4 separate regions of the Mus musculus genome follow, and regions 2, 3 and 4 are each reported to be linked to region 1. Evidence: microRNA targets listed by miRTarBase, many of them from high-throughput screens and not tested one by one. Region 1 holds a microRNA gene; each other region holds the end of a gene's coding sequence.
What was found. The annotated mature microRNA mmu-miR-24-3p reads UGGCUCAGUUCAGCAGGAACAG and lies in region 1 at 2,546-2,567, opposite strand. An mRNA with a match to its seed (bases 2 to 7 or 8) in the 3' UTR can be bound and repressed. Matches are read on the target gene's strand: a 7mer-m8 pairs with bases 2 to 8, a 7mer-A1 pairs with bases 2 to 7 and ends in A, and an 8mer does both.

Region 2: miRTarBase lists Clmn as a target of mmu-miR-24-3p. Seed matches in the 3' UTR shown: 7mer-A1 at 765-771 and 7mer-m8 at 4,058-4,064.
Region 3: the mRNA of Nacc2 is a reported target of mmu-miR-24-3p. Seed matches in the 3' UTR shown: 7mer-m8 at 2,280-2,286.
Region 4: the mRNA of Cnst is a reported target of mmu-miR-24-3p. Seed matches in the 3' UTR shown: 7mer-m8 at 1,839-1,845.

The regions. Positions count from the first base shown.
Region 1 is chr8:84,207,376-84,211,441 of GRCm38, reverse strand. Mir24-2 (microRNA 24-2) reads right to left here and starts at 2,627; the gene lies at 2,521-2,627. It overlaps Zswim4 (zinc finger SWIM-type containing 4), which reads left to right. Exons shown (of 14, transcript NM_172503.3): 14 at 1-500. Mir23a (microRNA 23a) reads right to left here and starts at 2,924; the gene lies at 2,850-2,924. Mir27a (microRNA 27a) reads right to left here and starts at 2,770; the gene lies at 2,684-2,770. It also overlaps Mir3074-2.
Region 2 is chr12:104,768,410-104,772,475 of GRCm38, reverse strand. Clmn (calmin) reads left to right here. Exons shown (of 14, transcript NM_053155.2): 14 at 513-4,066. The coding sequence ends at 684. Among named protein-coding and RNA genes, the nearest start is that of Dicer1, 18 kb to the right of the region's middle.
Region 3 is chr2:26,056,386-26,060,451 of GRCm38, reverse strand. It overlaps Nacc2 (nucleus accumbens associated 2, BEN and BTB (POZ) domain containing), which reads left to right. Exons shown (of 6, transcript NM_001037098.1): 6 at 1-4,066. The coding sequence ends at 490. Among named protein-coding and RNA genes, the nearest start is that of Nacc2, 34 kb to the left of the region's middle.
Region 4 is chr1:179,624,672-179,628,737 of GRCm38, forward strand. It overlaps Cnst (consortin, connexin sorting protein), which reads left to right. Exons shown (of 11, transcript NM_146105.3): 11 at 328-2,802. The coding sequence ends at 533. Among named protein-coding and RNA genes, the nearest start is that of Sccpdh, 42 kb to the right of the region's middle.

The DNA of each region.
Region 1 (4,066 bases):
CTGCCACATACCTCACCCCCAAATACCCTTGTCAAGCCAGGGCCTGTCTTCTCTTGGGCACCAAGGTCACAGGGTAGGCTGGGGACAGCTCTCTGCTGGCCAGACCCCACCACTAGTAACTGGATACACAACTCAGGAGTCAGGCTGCCCTCCAGCCTGTTGTGGGAGGCACAGGCAGACAGCCAGGGACCCCGTTCTGTCTTCCTCTTGCTCTGCACCTCCATTTGTTTCCCCACTCCCTTAGTTTCCCCATGTCTGCATCTCTCTCAAGTCCCAGCTGCTGACAGGCCTTCCTGTATCCCAGGCCTTGGCCCAGGGAGGAAGAGAAGGGAGAGCCTCCACCCCAGACGCACCTGTCTTCTCTCTTGTATATTAAGGAAAAAGTTGGCATCATTTTGTAACTTTTTTTCTTATTTATTGAACCCCATACTGTATTCTTTTCCTTTTTTTTTCCTTTTTTTTTAAAAAAAAGATTGAACACAACTTCTTTTTAACTTCAAGACTGGGTTGCATTGCTAACACAAACACCCGGGGCCAGGGGTACCTACCACCTGCTCAATTAACCAAAAAATTTTCCATCTCGGTTTTTGGGCACAACTTGAATGGGACAGGAGAGGCTGCTGGTTTCTTCATGGCATCGTGGTGACACGAAGAGCCACCTCTTGCTGGTGGCTTTACTGCTTTTCCATCTGCATGTCATAATCTCTGCAAGTCAGGAGGCTTAAAACGCCCAAACCTAGAGTCTGTAGGTTTTTGGAAAATGCACCCAGATTGCACTGTCCTTCATTGCAGGAAATGACCACCAGGGGGCGTCTGGCTCCAGACAACGTCATTCGGAGCTCCGGAGGTCTCACCAGGTGCGGAGGGCAGCTGGGGACGCCTGTGTCCCCAGTGACCTGCCCATTGCATTTTTGGGCTGTGGATGAGACTCCCGTTCTTAGATGGATTCATCCAGCGGACGGCCTGGGCATTCTTCTCATTCTCCGGTTCTTTATGTCCTTAGCTGTGTCTGACAGGGTCATTGTTTAGGACCGTTCTCTTGGAAGCTGTGTGTGTGTGTGTGTTGCCTCTGTGGGGCACTATGGGAGCTGGCTGTGACTATGAGTGTGGCCATAGTTCATGGTGCGTTCCTTTGCTCCAGGGAGCCGATCAGAGGCGATCCGCCCCTTAGCCCTTCTGGCGCAGACGGGCGCGCGCGCGTGCGTGCGTGCGTGCGTGTGTGTGTGTGTGTGTGTGTGTGTGTGTGTGTGTGTAGACGGGCGCGCGCGCGTGCGTGTGTGTGTGCATGCGCGCGTGTCTGTCTGTGCTCGCATATGTGCCCGTCCTTAAGCCCTGTGTGTGTGTGTGTGTGTGTGTGTGTGCATGCGCGCGTGTCTGTCTGTGCGCGCATATGTGCCCGTCCTTAAGCCCTGGCATCTTGCCAGTCAGTGCATCCCAGCATAGGCAGAGTACATTCTTGTAACATACTCCCTCATGGAACTGGGGTGACCACAGATTGGTCTCATACACCCCAGGTCTGGGTTATCCCTCCCGTTCAAGCCATCCCCAAAGGATCCCAGGATCTTCAGGTCGCAGCACCTACTGACCACAGAACTATATTTACACCTTCCTAGAAGCAGGTGGAGCAAGGTTGGGGATAGGTGCAATGCAGGTTAGGAGCCCAGGGTGTGGTAGATATAGTGGTGCAGCTGGTATTCCCAAACTCCAGACACTGGAGGAGTTTGATTCAAGGTCAGCCTGGTCTACACAGAAATGCTGTTTCAAGAGAAATGAAAAAAGCCAGCAACACACATGTGGGAGGCGGGAATGAAGAGACGTCAGCCCTTACGGAATGAGGCTGTGGAGCTTTTATTTAGTTGGAGAACAACATTCAATACAAGCTTTCAACTCTGTTCTTCCACCCAGGCTTCGATTTGCCCCTGCCCAGAGTAGGGAGAGGACACTGTATGGTCTGGGAAGTGTAACTCAGCCAGTTCCAATTAGTCTGCATGCAGTCTCATTTGTGGGTAGTAGGCAACTTTTTAACTTCCAAGCCTGGAGATTACTTCAACAGGCCAATGGGGGGGGGGGGCATGGATCTGTTCATATCCTGAGGCCTGTGTGGACCTCGCTCCCTGCCTCGCTGTCACCAGCAGAAAGCTGCAGACCCCATGGGATTGCTAGGCACACTGGATCAGGTCAGTGCCTTCTTCCGGAAGCAGAGAGTTGGCATTTAACCGTTAGAGGGCCTAAAGCAGCTTCCTCTTGGGTAACTGACTTCAAAGATGGTATGTATAAGGGGTGGTGCCTGAGCCCCACCAGACTTAGGAAAAGAAGGGCTTCCAGGCCCTGAGGGGACATAACTGGCTTTTAATGCAAGGGTTACCCGCCCATCTATCTGCTTTGGGGAACCACAGAAATCTCAAGGTGGACACCCAGATGCAGGCTTAGAGGCTGAGCCTCCAGCAGACAACGGGGCTTAGGTTGGACTAATTACCCCATTGTTTCCAGGTCTTGCTCACGGCAGACATTCTGCAGGGTTGCCAGCTCCTAGGGGGCTGGACTCCTGTTCCTGCTGAACTGAGCCAGTGCACTGGAATCAACTGTTTCAGCTCAGTAGGCACGGGAGGCGGAGCCCGGAGAGAGGCAGAGCCCTGCCAGCCAGGAGGCAGAGCAGGGTGGGCAGCAGCGGCCTGAGGAGATGGGGTCCAGGGGGCGGAACTTAGCCACTGTGAACACGACTTTGCTGTGGACCTTGCTCACAAGCAGCTAAGCCCTGCTCCTCAGGCCAGTTGTCATGATAGGCTTCTCTGTTACCCAGTACCCAAGACAGACATCCTTGGCGACAGGAGCCCCCAAGGCAGAGCACAGGGTCAGTTGGAAATCCCTGGCAATGTGATTTGTGACTGGCATCAAATCCCATCCCCAGGAACCCCAGCCGTCCGAGGCACAGTGAGGGGGGCAGCAGGTGGGAGCGGAGTGTAGCACCTAAAGAGAGAAAGAAGAGACAGTGAGATTGGAGCATTCTTGCTTGCCTGCCTATCTTGACCAGGCTGGGTCTCACATAGCTGAACACAAGGTTTCCGAATGCACCAGTTCTTCCTGCCTCTACCTCTGGAGTCTAGGATTATAGGTACACCTCACCACACACAGTTTAAGTGGTGCTGGGGACAGAATCTAAACTCAGCTTGCTGATCCACACCCTAGCCCTCCTCTACTTCCAAGAGGGAAGAAGCATTCCCAAAAAAGAGGAGCATCGATCCGTAGGAAGGTTGGAGCGAGGCTGCTGGATGCTGGGCACCCAGCAGTGCCTCTACCCCAGCCCTACAAAGCGGGAGGTGCCTGAAGCCCTAAGGCCAAAGGGGCTGCAGAGCCTTCCCAGCTGCTTCCCACTCTGCTTCTATCCCCACCCACAGCCCTGAGCCCAAAGCAGGCCAAATGGGGCCATGGAGAGGAAGCTGAGGGAGGTGGACGGTTGGAGGGAGGAAGTGACCTCACCCCAGCTGGCGCCACTTCCTAGAAGCCTGAAGGGCAGGAGGAAACTCCAGGGCCTCCCACCTCAGCCCTCTCCTCCCCAGCCAGCTCAGACATAACCCCACCCCCACCCCACACCACCTAGGGCCCAAGCAAGGAGAAGCAGGCCGATGCACCCCAACAATAACACCTCAGTAAAGTTTCCCCTAGGCCTTCCAAGCCTCAGTTTCCCCATCTGTAAAGCAGACTACAACAGTTGCAGTTGGTGGCTCACGTTTATCTCAGCATTGAGGAAACTGAGGCAGGAAGGTTGCCAAGAATGGAGTCAAAAGCCTGCTTAAGCTACATGATGAGTTTTAGGCCTAACTGGGCTACAGTTTGAGACCCTAGTCTTAAATAGAAGAAAAACAAAAATAAAACAACAAAACCCCAAACCTTCTACTAGGAAGGCCAGTGAAAACTTACAGAGAAGGTATTTAGCACCCAGTACCAGGGCAAGCCACAAAATTTGGGGCCTACCCAATGTAGAGTAGTGTCCTGCGTGCCAGTTAAAGTTTTCAGGGGCCAGCAAGCTGATCCAGCAAGTGAGCAGAGCTGCTATGGAGCCCAATGC
Region 2 (4,066 bases), not on the chromosome of region 1:
CCTGGCTCACTTGTTAAACCCCCCCTCCCACCACCTAAAAGAAAGGTAACTCTGACCCAAATCAAAGCTGACAGTGCTTCTGAAGGCAACCTGTCAAAGGCAAAACTTGGGGTGACTTGACTTGTTTGTCCCCAGTAGCTGCTTTGAAATTATCAGCCAAAGTCCCTTTAGTAACTGAGGCGTAGGTAGGTGAGAGCTGGCAGTCCTACCTCCTCCTGAACTGTCCCAGGAGACCTGGCTCAGCTCTATCATGAAGTAATTGTGTGGCCTTTGACAACTGCTGCCCAATGACTGTCACTGTGGTCATTTGTGAAATGGTTGGCATGGCTCCTTCTGTTAGGGAGTGGTGATGGAGCTCCCTCTCCTGGAACACACACACACAAATGGGGACCTCCCTGATGTATTATGGGAGCCTTTATCTGCGGATGGGTTGTGGGGTTGAGGTTCAGGATGGTCTTCCAATCATAGGGACCCCACCAATAACCATCCTGTCCCTTTCTTTCCTTCTGCAGGACTGGCACCAACTCCTCTGGAGAAGCTGTGCCCCTGGGGAACCAGAGCCCGCCCAACGACTCTCTGACGCAGTTTGTACAGCAGCCCGACGTGATATATTTCATTCTCTTCCTCTGGCTCCTCGTTTACTGCTTACTGCTCTTCCCACAGCTTGATGTCAGCCGGCTCTGAAACATGTGTCTGGAGAATAAAAAGACAGGACCCTGGCCAGGGCGGAGTCTTTCTACCGCATCTTACTGTCTGTTCAGGGTTGAGCCACCTGTGCAGAGATGGAAGACGGCAGAGGGAGCACAGGCCCCACACCCCCTGTTGCTGTCCGGTTCAGTCTTTGCTCACATGTCCTCTGATTCTCTAAGCCCCCCTCCCAGCCCCCCCCCCCCCCCGAGAGCATGCTTTCTTTCCAGACTGTGTGCTCCCAGCTCAGGTTTGAGGCTGGATCTGTGGACGCGATTCCTCCTTATGTGCCTTGTTTGGTCAGATGCGAGTCCTTACTAATGTGTACCCCAAACCTGGGTCTTAACATGTGCACATGCAGGTTCCTAAGGTCCTGGAGGAGCTTGAGTTACTTCCTTTTATCTCAGGGGAGGGCCTGCCCAACTCTGAGAAAGAGCGGAGTCTGTGGTAGGAAGAACGGTACCCTGTTTGCCTTCAAGTGTGAGTGTTTGAGCGATAACCTGCCCCAGCCTGGTCATCCATTGCTGGGGACTTAAACAGCACATACCTGCCCGTTCACTGGAAATTACACCCGGCCATTGGCAGACTCCAAAGAAGAGGGTGTTTCTGCCAGGTTTGTTGTGAGCTACAACCCATTCGTCTTTCACCTTGGTGTTCTTGGAGGGTTGCGTTTTTAATTCGCCTTTTTATTGATTGAATTGAGGTACGGCTCTAGTTTTAAAACCTGCCCATCAGTAGGACCTCCTATCAGATGAAAGCCAGTCTAGATTTGCATGCAAAGCAAGGCTCTGGCTGACTGGGGTAGCCCTGACTCTCCCTTCCTCTGCTGAGTCTTCTGTATGGAACCTGTCTTTTTTGAGGGGCTGCATGAGGTTGCCCCAGGGGGCTGGAAGTGGCCCAGCCAAAATAAGCTCCCACAAATGGTGGCGCTGGGAGGGTTTCTGCAGGTTTCTGGGCTCAGGAGGCATTCGTACCTTGGCACCAGCATCCTTTGCGGTCAACCAAACAGAGATCTTGCAAAGGCTTTCTGGAAAGGACCAGGGTATAGGCTGGGGCAGGCAGGTTGCAGGAAGAGAAAGGTTTCTTTTCTCACCCTCCTGTCTTCCTCGGCCCCTACCTACCCCAGTGTCCCCTGTCCACTTTGCGAAGGCTCAAGTCTGGCAAAGCTCCAGCTTCTTCTTGCCCTTGCTATCCCTCTCAAAAAGCACACACTAGCAGGGCGTGGTGACGCACGCCTTTAATCCCAGCACCCAGGAGGCAGAGACAGGCAGATTTCTGAGTTCGAGGCCAGCCTGGTCTATAAAGTGAGTTCCAGGACAGTCAGGGCTACACAGAGAAACCCTGTCTCGAACCCCCCCCCCAAAAAAAACACACTAGGCAGCCCTTATAAAACCACAAACCGTTAGTCCAGAATGGGCCTCAGGGAGCATCTCTGAACTCAGAGAGGCAGAACAGGCTGGCCAAGGTCACACAGCCTATCACAGACTGGTCACTAGCCCCCAGGCCACTTGGCCCCCGAGTCTGGAACTATTGCTTTTTCTTTGTAGAAAACGTCCAGCCAGGTACACAAATGTCCTCACTCAAACACAGCCGTCCTTTTTAGACCTTTTATTAACCTCCAAGCTTAGCCTGGGCTCCTTCTAGAATGTTCTTGACGGCTGTAAAGGCTTATGTGTTGGTTACTACTCTTGTTGCTGTGACAAAGCAACTGAGAAAACAACTTAAGAAGAAAGGAGAGGGTCTAGGGGCTCACAGCTCCAGGATGCGATCCATCATACAGCGGGCATCGTGGCAGCAGGAATGTGAGGGGGCTAGTCATGTTGTATCGGGAGGCAGAGGAAGGGGAAGGGGGGAAAGAGTGTGTGTTAGTTCAGGTTGGGACCCCCAGTCCAGGGGATGGTGCTGCCCACATTCAGGGCAAGCCTTGCCTCTTTCTGGAAAGACCCTCAGAGTCACTTCCAGAGGTGTGTTTCCATGGATACAATGGGAATGAGGCATCACATCTTGCATCTGACATGAACGCTGCTCTTCACCCAGGAGTCATTCTCCTTAAGCAAACCAACGACTCAGACAATTTACATAGCACATTGAGTCAGGACAGTTAAAAACTTGGCTTCTCAGCCATTTTGATTGGCGTCTGCCTCCCCCTCCCCCCAAAAAAGAATTGAAGCTTTCTAAGAGGAGAGAGGTTGGGGGCTTGGAACACTTCCAGGTTAAAGGCCCAAAGCTCCAAAGAAAGTGAACGACTTAATGAGCTCCCTGGTCCCATTGGAAGTTCAAAAGTACAGATGATAAAGGTTTTATGTGTGATGTTTTATGACCTCGCACACTGCAGGGTCCTTGCCCAGATGAGGTACCAAAGAGGAGCTGGCCCAGATGTGAATCGTTTATTTTATGGGTCTAGACCTTGGTCCGAAGTCTGCGCATACTGCTTCTCTCGCCTCCTGTGGCTTAGAACAGCCTTTAAAACTACTACAGGCAAGATGCCCAAGCATCATTCGGCTCAAACTGGCAGGAAGTTGCTAGTTGAAAGGGAAAAATAATCTCACTTGAGTGTAGGGGCATGTAGAAGAGACCACTTATGGAAAGCTGCTGGCAAGCTGTTGGTCACTCGACATCTTTTAAAAAATTTATTTTTAAAGAGTGAGTGAATGTGTGTGTGTGTGTGCGCGCGCGCGCGCATGAATGCAGGTACCCATGGAGGCCCTAAGAAGGCATCAGATCCCCTCTGTGGGTATGAAGAACTGAATCAGGGTCCAGTGCAAGAGCATCATGTGCGCTTAACTACTGAATCACGTCTCCAGCCTTGCTTAGTTAGCATCTATTAAATAAGAAAGTGCTGTAGGTTTGAAACAAGGGCAGCTGCCCCTGAGGCTCATTTGTGGTCATAGTCCCTTTTGTCTACCTTTCAGCTGTTTCTCCTACTATTCCCTTCTGTGTCCTCTCTTCCTCTTCCTTCTGTGTCCTCTCTTCCTCTTCCTTCTGTGTCCCCCCCCCCTCTGTCTGTTTTTCACCAACTTTTCGAGAAATGGAATGTGAGAAATAAAAAGCTTTAGTTTTGTTTTGTTTTGTTTTGTTTTGTTTTGTTCCATGACTTAACATGTCTGTCTCCTGCCCTACTGTGTGGCTGGGTGTAGCTCCGCAGGTGGCAACATAGCCCTTGCTGCTGCTTTCCAGTGGCAGACTTAAGATTCCGATGCCGTTTCTGCCCCATGCCTTTGTACAAGACAAGGACTCTCCCTTCCCTGGTTGACATCCCCAGTCTCCTTTCTCTTGGTGGCCTGACCTGAGTGTGTCCTGTCCTTTGCTGTGGCACCTATTCTGGGTCCTCATGGGAAACTCCTTAAATCCTCTTACAATTTCTTTCTTTCTGAGCCCC
Region 3 (4,066 bases), not on the chromosome of region 1:
CAGCTTCAAAGAGAGCGAGATGAACGTGATTGCCGCAGACATGTGTACCAATGCTCGCCGTGTCCGTAAGCGCTGGCTGCCCAAGATCAAGTCCATGCTTCCAGAGGGTGTGGAGATGTACCGTAGCGTCATGGGTGCGTCGGCCGCCAGCCTGCCTCTGGACCCCGAGTTCCCATCTGCGGCTCCACAGGTGTTTGAGCAGCGCATCTATGCTGAGCGACGAAGTGATGCAGCCACCATCGTGGCTCTGAGAACTGATGCGGTGAATGTCGATCTGAGCACTTCAGCCAACCCTGCCTTTGAGGCTAATGAGGAGGTGGATGGGGGTGGCTCTGTTATCCAGGAGGTGGCTGCCCCAGAGCAGCTGCCCGCTGATGGCCAGAGCTCCCCTCAGGCCTTTGAGCAGGGCAACACCAGCTCCAGTAGGCCTCAGACACCAGTGGCCACAGCAACAAGAAGGCCAGAGGGCACCTATGCAGGGACCTTGTAAGTGGCCGGCAAGGCCAGCTCACAGGAACCCAGTACTAAAGCTGCTTGCATGCGTTACTAATACAAACAAATGTGATCAAGCCACTTACCTACTGAACTGCTACTGCTGCCTGACAAAAATGTGATTTTTATTCTGCCTGTATTTAAAATGGATGAAGGAAACAAATGCATTCATTATACTGTAAACATTTAGGCCGCTGGCCACTCTCTGGGACAAAGGTCCCAGGGCAACTTTTTGATATTCCCCAGCTCAGTCTCCCGTGGTAGTGTTCTCTCTCCCTTCTTGGGGAGACAGAAGAGGGCACCGGGTCCCTGATGTCCTGCCCTGACCCTGCCTCATCCACCCTTCTTATTCCCCTGCTCTGAAAGCAGAAGCTGGGGCAGCAGTGGCCTGGGGCTGGAGGGGCAGACACGACACTCCATTCTTAACCATAAGGACCCCACTGGGACAGTGGGGGGAATGCTGGGCCCCCAGAGGCCAGACTTCTCTTGTTTTCATTCCTCCGAAGAAGCTGCCTGCGTGCATGTATGTATGCGTGTGTGTGTGTGTGTGTGTGCGTGTGTGTGTGTGTGTGTGTGTGTGTGTGTGTGTGTGTGTGTGCATGTGTGTGTATGAGTATGTACGCACACACACATGAGTGAGAGAGACAGAGAGAGAGAAAGAGAAAGAGGGGGGGCAGGAAGACCAGTGATGGCCCTGCAGTAGCTGTGGCTGGTCATCTGGGGGTGGGGGAAAGATGAGGTGTTCCCCCCTCCATACCTGTGTCCTCACTCTGCTCCACCCAGACCCCCAGCGGCTGGCCTGCTGATCCCCCCAGGGTCTCTCTGCCCCTGGCCATGGCTGTCCTCACCACCCTCTGCCTCTCCAGCCACTCTGGGATTTTGCTTGTTTGCTGTTTTTGTTTAGTTCAGATCTATTTTGTTTGTGGTTTGGAAACTTTCAGACCGAACAGAGAAAAAAAAAAAAAAAAAAAGAAAAAAAAAAAGCGAGAGACTAGTGTCCCTGTTCCCAGCCTGCTGTGGATTTGGGTGAATACATGTCCATAACCCCCATCTTGGCCTCCCATTGGAGGCAGAGGGGCCCAGGAAAGTATAGCTATCTGTGTACAGCCAAGCTAGGCCCCTGTGGACCTGGCCAGCAGGACACTGCTGCCTGGGGTGGGCTTAGCGCTCACTGTGGGTGCCCGTGTAGTGGAAGGCACAGGCCCTACAGGCCTGGGCCAGGGCAGTTGGCAGGTGTGGATCAACCTCACTGGGGACCAGAAACTTAGACTATCACGAGGACGGCACCTGTGGGGGCCGTGGAGGACTGCTGGTGGGTGAGAAGCTGGCGGTTTATCATTTTAAAGTGTGGGATATGCTCCCGAGGCTACTTTCCCAAGTGTCTCCTCTTGGACTCTTGTCTGAGGACTGCCTGCCCACCTGCAAAACCTAGCAGCTGCTGAGGTGCCCAAGGACACCGACTATAACAAACTTGAAAGGTCTCGTCCCTATCCCTCTATGCATCTTGAGTTTGCTGCCCTATGAACCCCCCACTGTGTGCCCACAGTCAGAGCAGTCTTTTCCCCATTGGAGGGTAGGAGGCCTGAGGTGCAGTTTAGACTCCCTCTGTGTCACAGCCTCCTTTTTGCAGGCAATTCCCTGTCTTGGGGGCCTCACAGGGAGACCCCATACTGTGCTGACTATACACGTCAATTCATGTATAGTCCTATCTTCCCCCTCCCCTCTTTTGGAAGACCTGTGGTGTGGAGAGGGAAAGGGGCATCATGGCAGGCACTGTGGGAACTGAGCTGAGCCCCTCCCCCTGCTCCTTGGTAACCCAAGGCCTGCATTCCTAGGGCCGGTTCAGAGGCTAGCTAATATCCAGCTCAGGAACTAGCTGCCCAGAGATGGACCTCTCACCTCTCCCATTTCCATCTTACTCCTAGGTAGGTTGGAGCCCCAGCCAGCCCTTTAGTGACTTGGACCAAACCCTCCTGGTGCTGGGTGAAGACCATAGAACTGTAGAGGGTACGGCAGGATTGGGGGCAGGGCTGTGCCCTTCCGCTCTGGAATATCCCTTCATCTGCTTCCTCCACCCAAATTTGCACTTTAATTTGACCATCCTTGGGGACCTTTGGGAGACAAACCCACCTATTTTGGTTGGTGGTAGAAGGGCTCTTTCTCATCCCTCCACTCCAAGATGAGCATGGTCCCACCCTGGGCCAGCATAGGGAGGGTGCCGCTGGCCATTAGAGGAACAGTGGCCGCACAGAATGCCTGACCACTGCTCGGGCTAGCACAATGTCCTCAACCTCTGTCCCTTAGTGTTTATAATTGCCATCTGTTTTGTTCTGGGTAAGGAAGGCAAGAGCTATAGGTAAAACTTCAATAATATTAAATGTGAATGGATTCTGAGCTCTCCCTGTGCCCCGGGTGGGCCAGACAGAGCGTTTTGCACTAATGTGTCCCATTGTGGACGTTGTGGGGATCGTTTGCAGACATGCATGGCCAATGACTGTACCTGCTTAGGGGAGGGGCACTCCCTCTGCATCCTGAATGTACTGCGAGGCAGGCGGGTGGCAGGCCTGGGCTCCGAGGGGCCTTCCAGAGTGCCTTAGCATCTTTTGATTATTTTTTTCAAGGAAAACCAATTTAAAAAACCAGACTCCCTCCTTTGTTTACAAGATGACTAATTCCAGAATCGGGGCTGTCTTGTCCTGTCACGTGACCCTGACTTGTCCAGACCCTATAGGTGAGAGCCTCTCAGCATTTGTCAGATGTCTACACCTCTGTTCCTAGCTTGACTACTAGCAATATGCACATACTATGTAGAGTCTATTGTAGAAACTATTGCTACATCAGCATCTTTGCCAGGACGACAGTCGGGACTGGATAGGGTTGGAGCTACTGGGACAGAGCTGGATCCAGCCATGAGTCTTATGTCCTCCCAGAGCAGACAATAGTCCCTGAGGCAGCTGGGACGAATACAGCAGGTCTGGGGCAAGGGACCAGAGACAGGGCTGATAGTGTGAGCTTGGAGGTGCTGCCTGTCTGCCCGGCTGTCTCAGTACTTGAATTCTGTATTGTTTTCTATACCAGTTGCTTCAGCTAACATCTGATTTGGTGTCTTACTTTGCCCTTGGATGTAGATGCAGCCAGTGATGTATGAAAGGCAATTGAGGAGAGACTCTGAGGGGTCCTTTGTGGTGTGACTGCAGGTGTGGGCCTCGAAGAAAACTAGATGTGTGGTGTTTGTTTAGAACCTAAAGGAAGGCAGAAAGGGGCTGTGAGAGCTGGCAAGCTGACAGGGCCAGTCCCCTCCAAGGGACTGTGGGGTGCCTGCTGCTACCTGCTTCAACAGCAGGACCTTCCCAAGCCCAGTGCATGTTGTGCTCTGCCCCACTGTCCTCTGCTTGGGTTCCCTAAAGATGGTGATTCTTAGCTGACTTGGGGAAGAGCAGGTGGCCTATCAACCAGCTGAAAACTCGAAAGACCCTGTTAGAACCTGCTTGCCGCAGATCCCAGATGGGAATGGCGACAAGCACATGATCTGTCAGCTTTACGCACTTCACTTCGTGGAAAGGTGCTGCTGCTG
Region 4 (4,066 bases), not on the chromosome of region 1:
TGGATCAACTTCAGTAGTTGAAGTCACCTCTGGATTATATATCAGATCCCGTGAGTTTAAATAATCTGTACATAATTGCTATGTGGTATTGTTTAAGGGGATGTGGTAAGAAAATAGTACATATTTAGTGCAGACAGTTCTTCCGAACATTTGGTCCACAGATCAGAGCCCATAGATGGGGAGGAGTCACGGTGATGAGAAAGTGGGAGGAGATGAACTAGGTCGCTAGCCTAGATTAGCAGGCATCGGAGGACTGTGATTAAAAGAACCCGTGAAGAGACTTGAGCTAAGCCTGCTGATAGTTTAACCCCGTTCTCCTGTTTGCAGATGAGGTTGGTGGTGGTTCCTGCATCCTGCTCATCTTGCTGTGCATAGCCACTGTCTTCCTCAGTGTTGGAGGAACTGCACTCTACTGCACCCTGGGCAACATTGAGTCACCTGTTTGCACGGACTTTGCCGACAACGTGGACTTCTATTACACTAAGCTGCTGCAGGGGGTGGCAGGGCTGAAACACTGGGTCTACCTCTCCTAGCAGTAAGCGTGGCAGGCGTGACAGACGGCTGACAGACAAAGAAGATGCAGACTTCCCCGACAGCGTTTATCTCAGAAGTCATGAGACATCCCTGCTCCCTGGCATCAAGGACCCAAGGATGAACGTTAGAAACAGCAACATTAAACAGCAGCCCAGGGAACACAGATGTAGGCACCGAGGACAGAGAGAGGGAGCTATGGCGAGCAGGCCCCTCTCCTTGCTGCTTCCCCGTGTCATGTGGGGCTCACACTGAGGGCTAAAGGGCACTCCTGGTTTACAGTCTTGCTCCACAGCCATTGCTTCCCACCATCATGCAATAAGTTTCTTTGTCATCAGAGAGCATTATCTTATGGCTTCAGTGCCATTTTTTAGTTAATCTCGGGAACTGTGTGATTTAAGCCTTGGGCATTACTCTAGATTCTGGTCTCCATTTGCAAAATGGTTGTGGGGGGCGGAGGCAGGGGTGGTCTGAAGCAGTGATCACAAGTGGATAGCCAGCATAGAATACAAAGATGACCTTTATTCTTTTAACTTGACGACAATGTGCAGGCACAACTCTTTGGAGAAGGCTTACCTGTGAACTAGATAAACTGTAGAGATGTTGGCCCCGAGTTGAGAACTGACAGACCTGTGTCGATGAACTTGACAGGCCCAAAGGCACAGGGACAGAACTCCCAGGTCCCAGGTGAGAGTTCACTCTGGCTTCTATGCTGCCTCAAGAGATGAGTGCCGGGCTCTGTGCGCAGCTCAAGAGAAACTTACTGAGTGTCTGTTATGTCCTGAGAGCCTCAGGAGAGCATCCTGAGTAAGGAGTGGTTGCCACTGTGCAGGTGTTTAGGGCAGGTAAACCCATACTCTGACGAATGAAGCAGACTACCACGTGTATGCGTACTCTCAGGCCGTGCGCTTAGGTGTATGGAATGTGTTCCTCTCGTGGGCTCATTCTAGAATGCTTCATGGGCTCATGAAGCAGAAATCCAGTCATACCCTAAAGAGACAAATGTCTAGTGTTGTTTAATTCTGTCACCAGGTGGCCATTCCTCATTTGCGGTACAGTGATCTAATGTTTAGGAGGCCTTCCTTTGACTTTTTATATTCGAGGCAACATCTTTTTTTAAAAATCATGAATTATAGTTTTTTAGCAAGTGACCGTTATGTTCTGTTTTCCTGTCGGGATCGTTTGGAAGGAAGGAGAAAACTGGCTTTGCAGGTGTTACTGGCTGGCACAGTACCTTCCTTTGTGTCTCTGCTTATTTATTTGGAGTGTGAACTTAAGGAGCTTTTTTATGAATTGAGCGTGCGCTGCTGAGCCTGCATTCCTTCATCCCACCGCTGCCTATTTAATTAGATGCTTAGTGTTTGGATTTTATACCATTTCAGCTCCGTGTATTTTTAGACTTATTTTGAAATTGACTTTTTATTTTCACTTATAATACTGCGTGGCTTATCTCTTATGTCACCATAAACTGTAATATTTTCGATGGGTATAGATCAGAGTTATTTATTTAGAAGTATACAGAATGCTGAAATTTAGATTCGTTATACCTAAGGCTGATTTTATTAGAAGATTATTTTAATGTCCTACTATAAACTTTAAGACTTTGTATTCATATCATATGTAACATAGGTCCCATCATCCTGGAACAGTGGTTCTATAGGAGCCACGAGCGAGGTCATCTGTGCAGGCTCCTCTCGATACACAGACATTTCACCCTCATGATTTCTAGCTGCGGGGATTTGATGATCTTTGTTTCTGCCAATTTTATGTCAAGAAAAGTTCAAATCTCCCTCCTGTTCACCTCTTTTCGGTCACTCAGAGTCCCGTGTGATCTCTGATGTTGTATTTGCCTCTCAGCCACCTTGGCCACATTTCCAAAACCCTGGGTTTCCTGGGAGAATCCAGTAAAAGAAAGGGCTGAAATGATACCTGGCTAACCAGTGACCCAGTTGTGTATCCAAGGAGCCGGTGCTCACCACTCGGGGAACCAGAGTGATCGGGAGCAGACTGACCTCGTGACCTAAAGTGGGTGTGAACTCTCACCTAGAAAACCTAGGGTACCTTTGAAACCTGTAATGGTCATTTATTGCATGAATTGGAGTATCCCCCTGCAGGTGAGAGGATGCTATCCTACGTACAAGCATCAGACAACTATGCTGAAATGTCACTCCTCCTCTCATTTGAAAGTACTGACAACTATTTATACCTAGAGTTCTGAAGAACTGTATTTGAGGGTGTCAAATCAAGCTTGTAATTTAAAATCTACACCAACAAAATGTCTCCGAGAATTTATTTGAACCCTTTGGGTGTTGGGGGACGTGCTTGAAAGCAAACTATAATGCCAGAGGTCGGGCCAGTCCCTGAAGGAGATGCCAGCTATTTGGAGCAAGTCTTTTTTTTTTTTAATTACATTCACATATTTTGGGGAGGGACCACAATTGTGCCACAGTGTCCATGTGGAGGTCAGAAGAACACTTAACGGAGTCGCTTCTCTCCTTCCACCATTAGGGTCCAGAGGCTCAAACTCAGGTCATGCGCTTGAGAGCAAGCGCTTTCTCCCACTGAGCCATCTTATCACCTCTATTTTGAGGACATCGTAACGTCCCTAAGTAACAGTTCTCAGCTTTTAAAATACCTCTCTGCCTGACTAGTAACCAGGCTCCACTCTCAAGTGCTGCATCCTTTTAGACTTGAAAATCAAGTCCAGAGTCTGATTTTATCAGTCTGTGAATTGGGGTGTGAGAGGTGCTGAGGAGCTGAAGTTTGAAGGTCAGGCTTATTTTGCAAGGGCAGATGTGATTTGGGTCTCCTGAATGGCAGGACAACATAGCCTAAGGGGAGCAGTGAGGAAGGACTGGGTGGGGCCAGGGTGGGGCGGTGGGTGTTGAACAGAGGGAAAATGGAGACCAAAGAAGCCTTCGGCTGGTGACCTCCTTTCCTGACACTGGCCTTTGTGACACTCACTCCCCATACATAGGCGGGTTATTTTTCATTATTAGCATCTATTAATACTGGGTTTCATTATGACACTTGCATACGTGTAGATAATGCATTTTGAGCATCTTCATTACCTGGTACACTCTTGTTCCCCTCCGTCCCTGCTCATCCCCTTCGAGAGGCTGGGTTCTTCATCCTACTGCTAGCAGGCAGACCTCTGTAAGCTCTCATTGCTTTGGGCACAGTTGATCTTGTGTGGCGTTTGTAGTATTTTGACATTGATGCATTCTGTGTCTGAATAAGCACATGTACATCTCTAAGCCACAGGTTTGGTGATGCTCGGCTCCACTACACTTCTGTTTCCCTCACATGACCTGCACCTGCAGAGACTGTACGAGTGCCTCTGGGGCTTTTGGACTTTAATAGCAATGTAGTAAGCTGGGCGTGGCTTTGTGTCTGGTGCTGAGCAGCTCGTGTTTGCTGCCTTCTGCCCCCTTACACACATCAGATTGCCAGCCCTGTAAGCACAGTGAGAGGGCTGGGGGCCCCACTCGGCTTAAAGAGCTTGCGTCTGATAAGGGAATGTATTTGTAAAGAA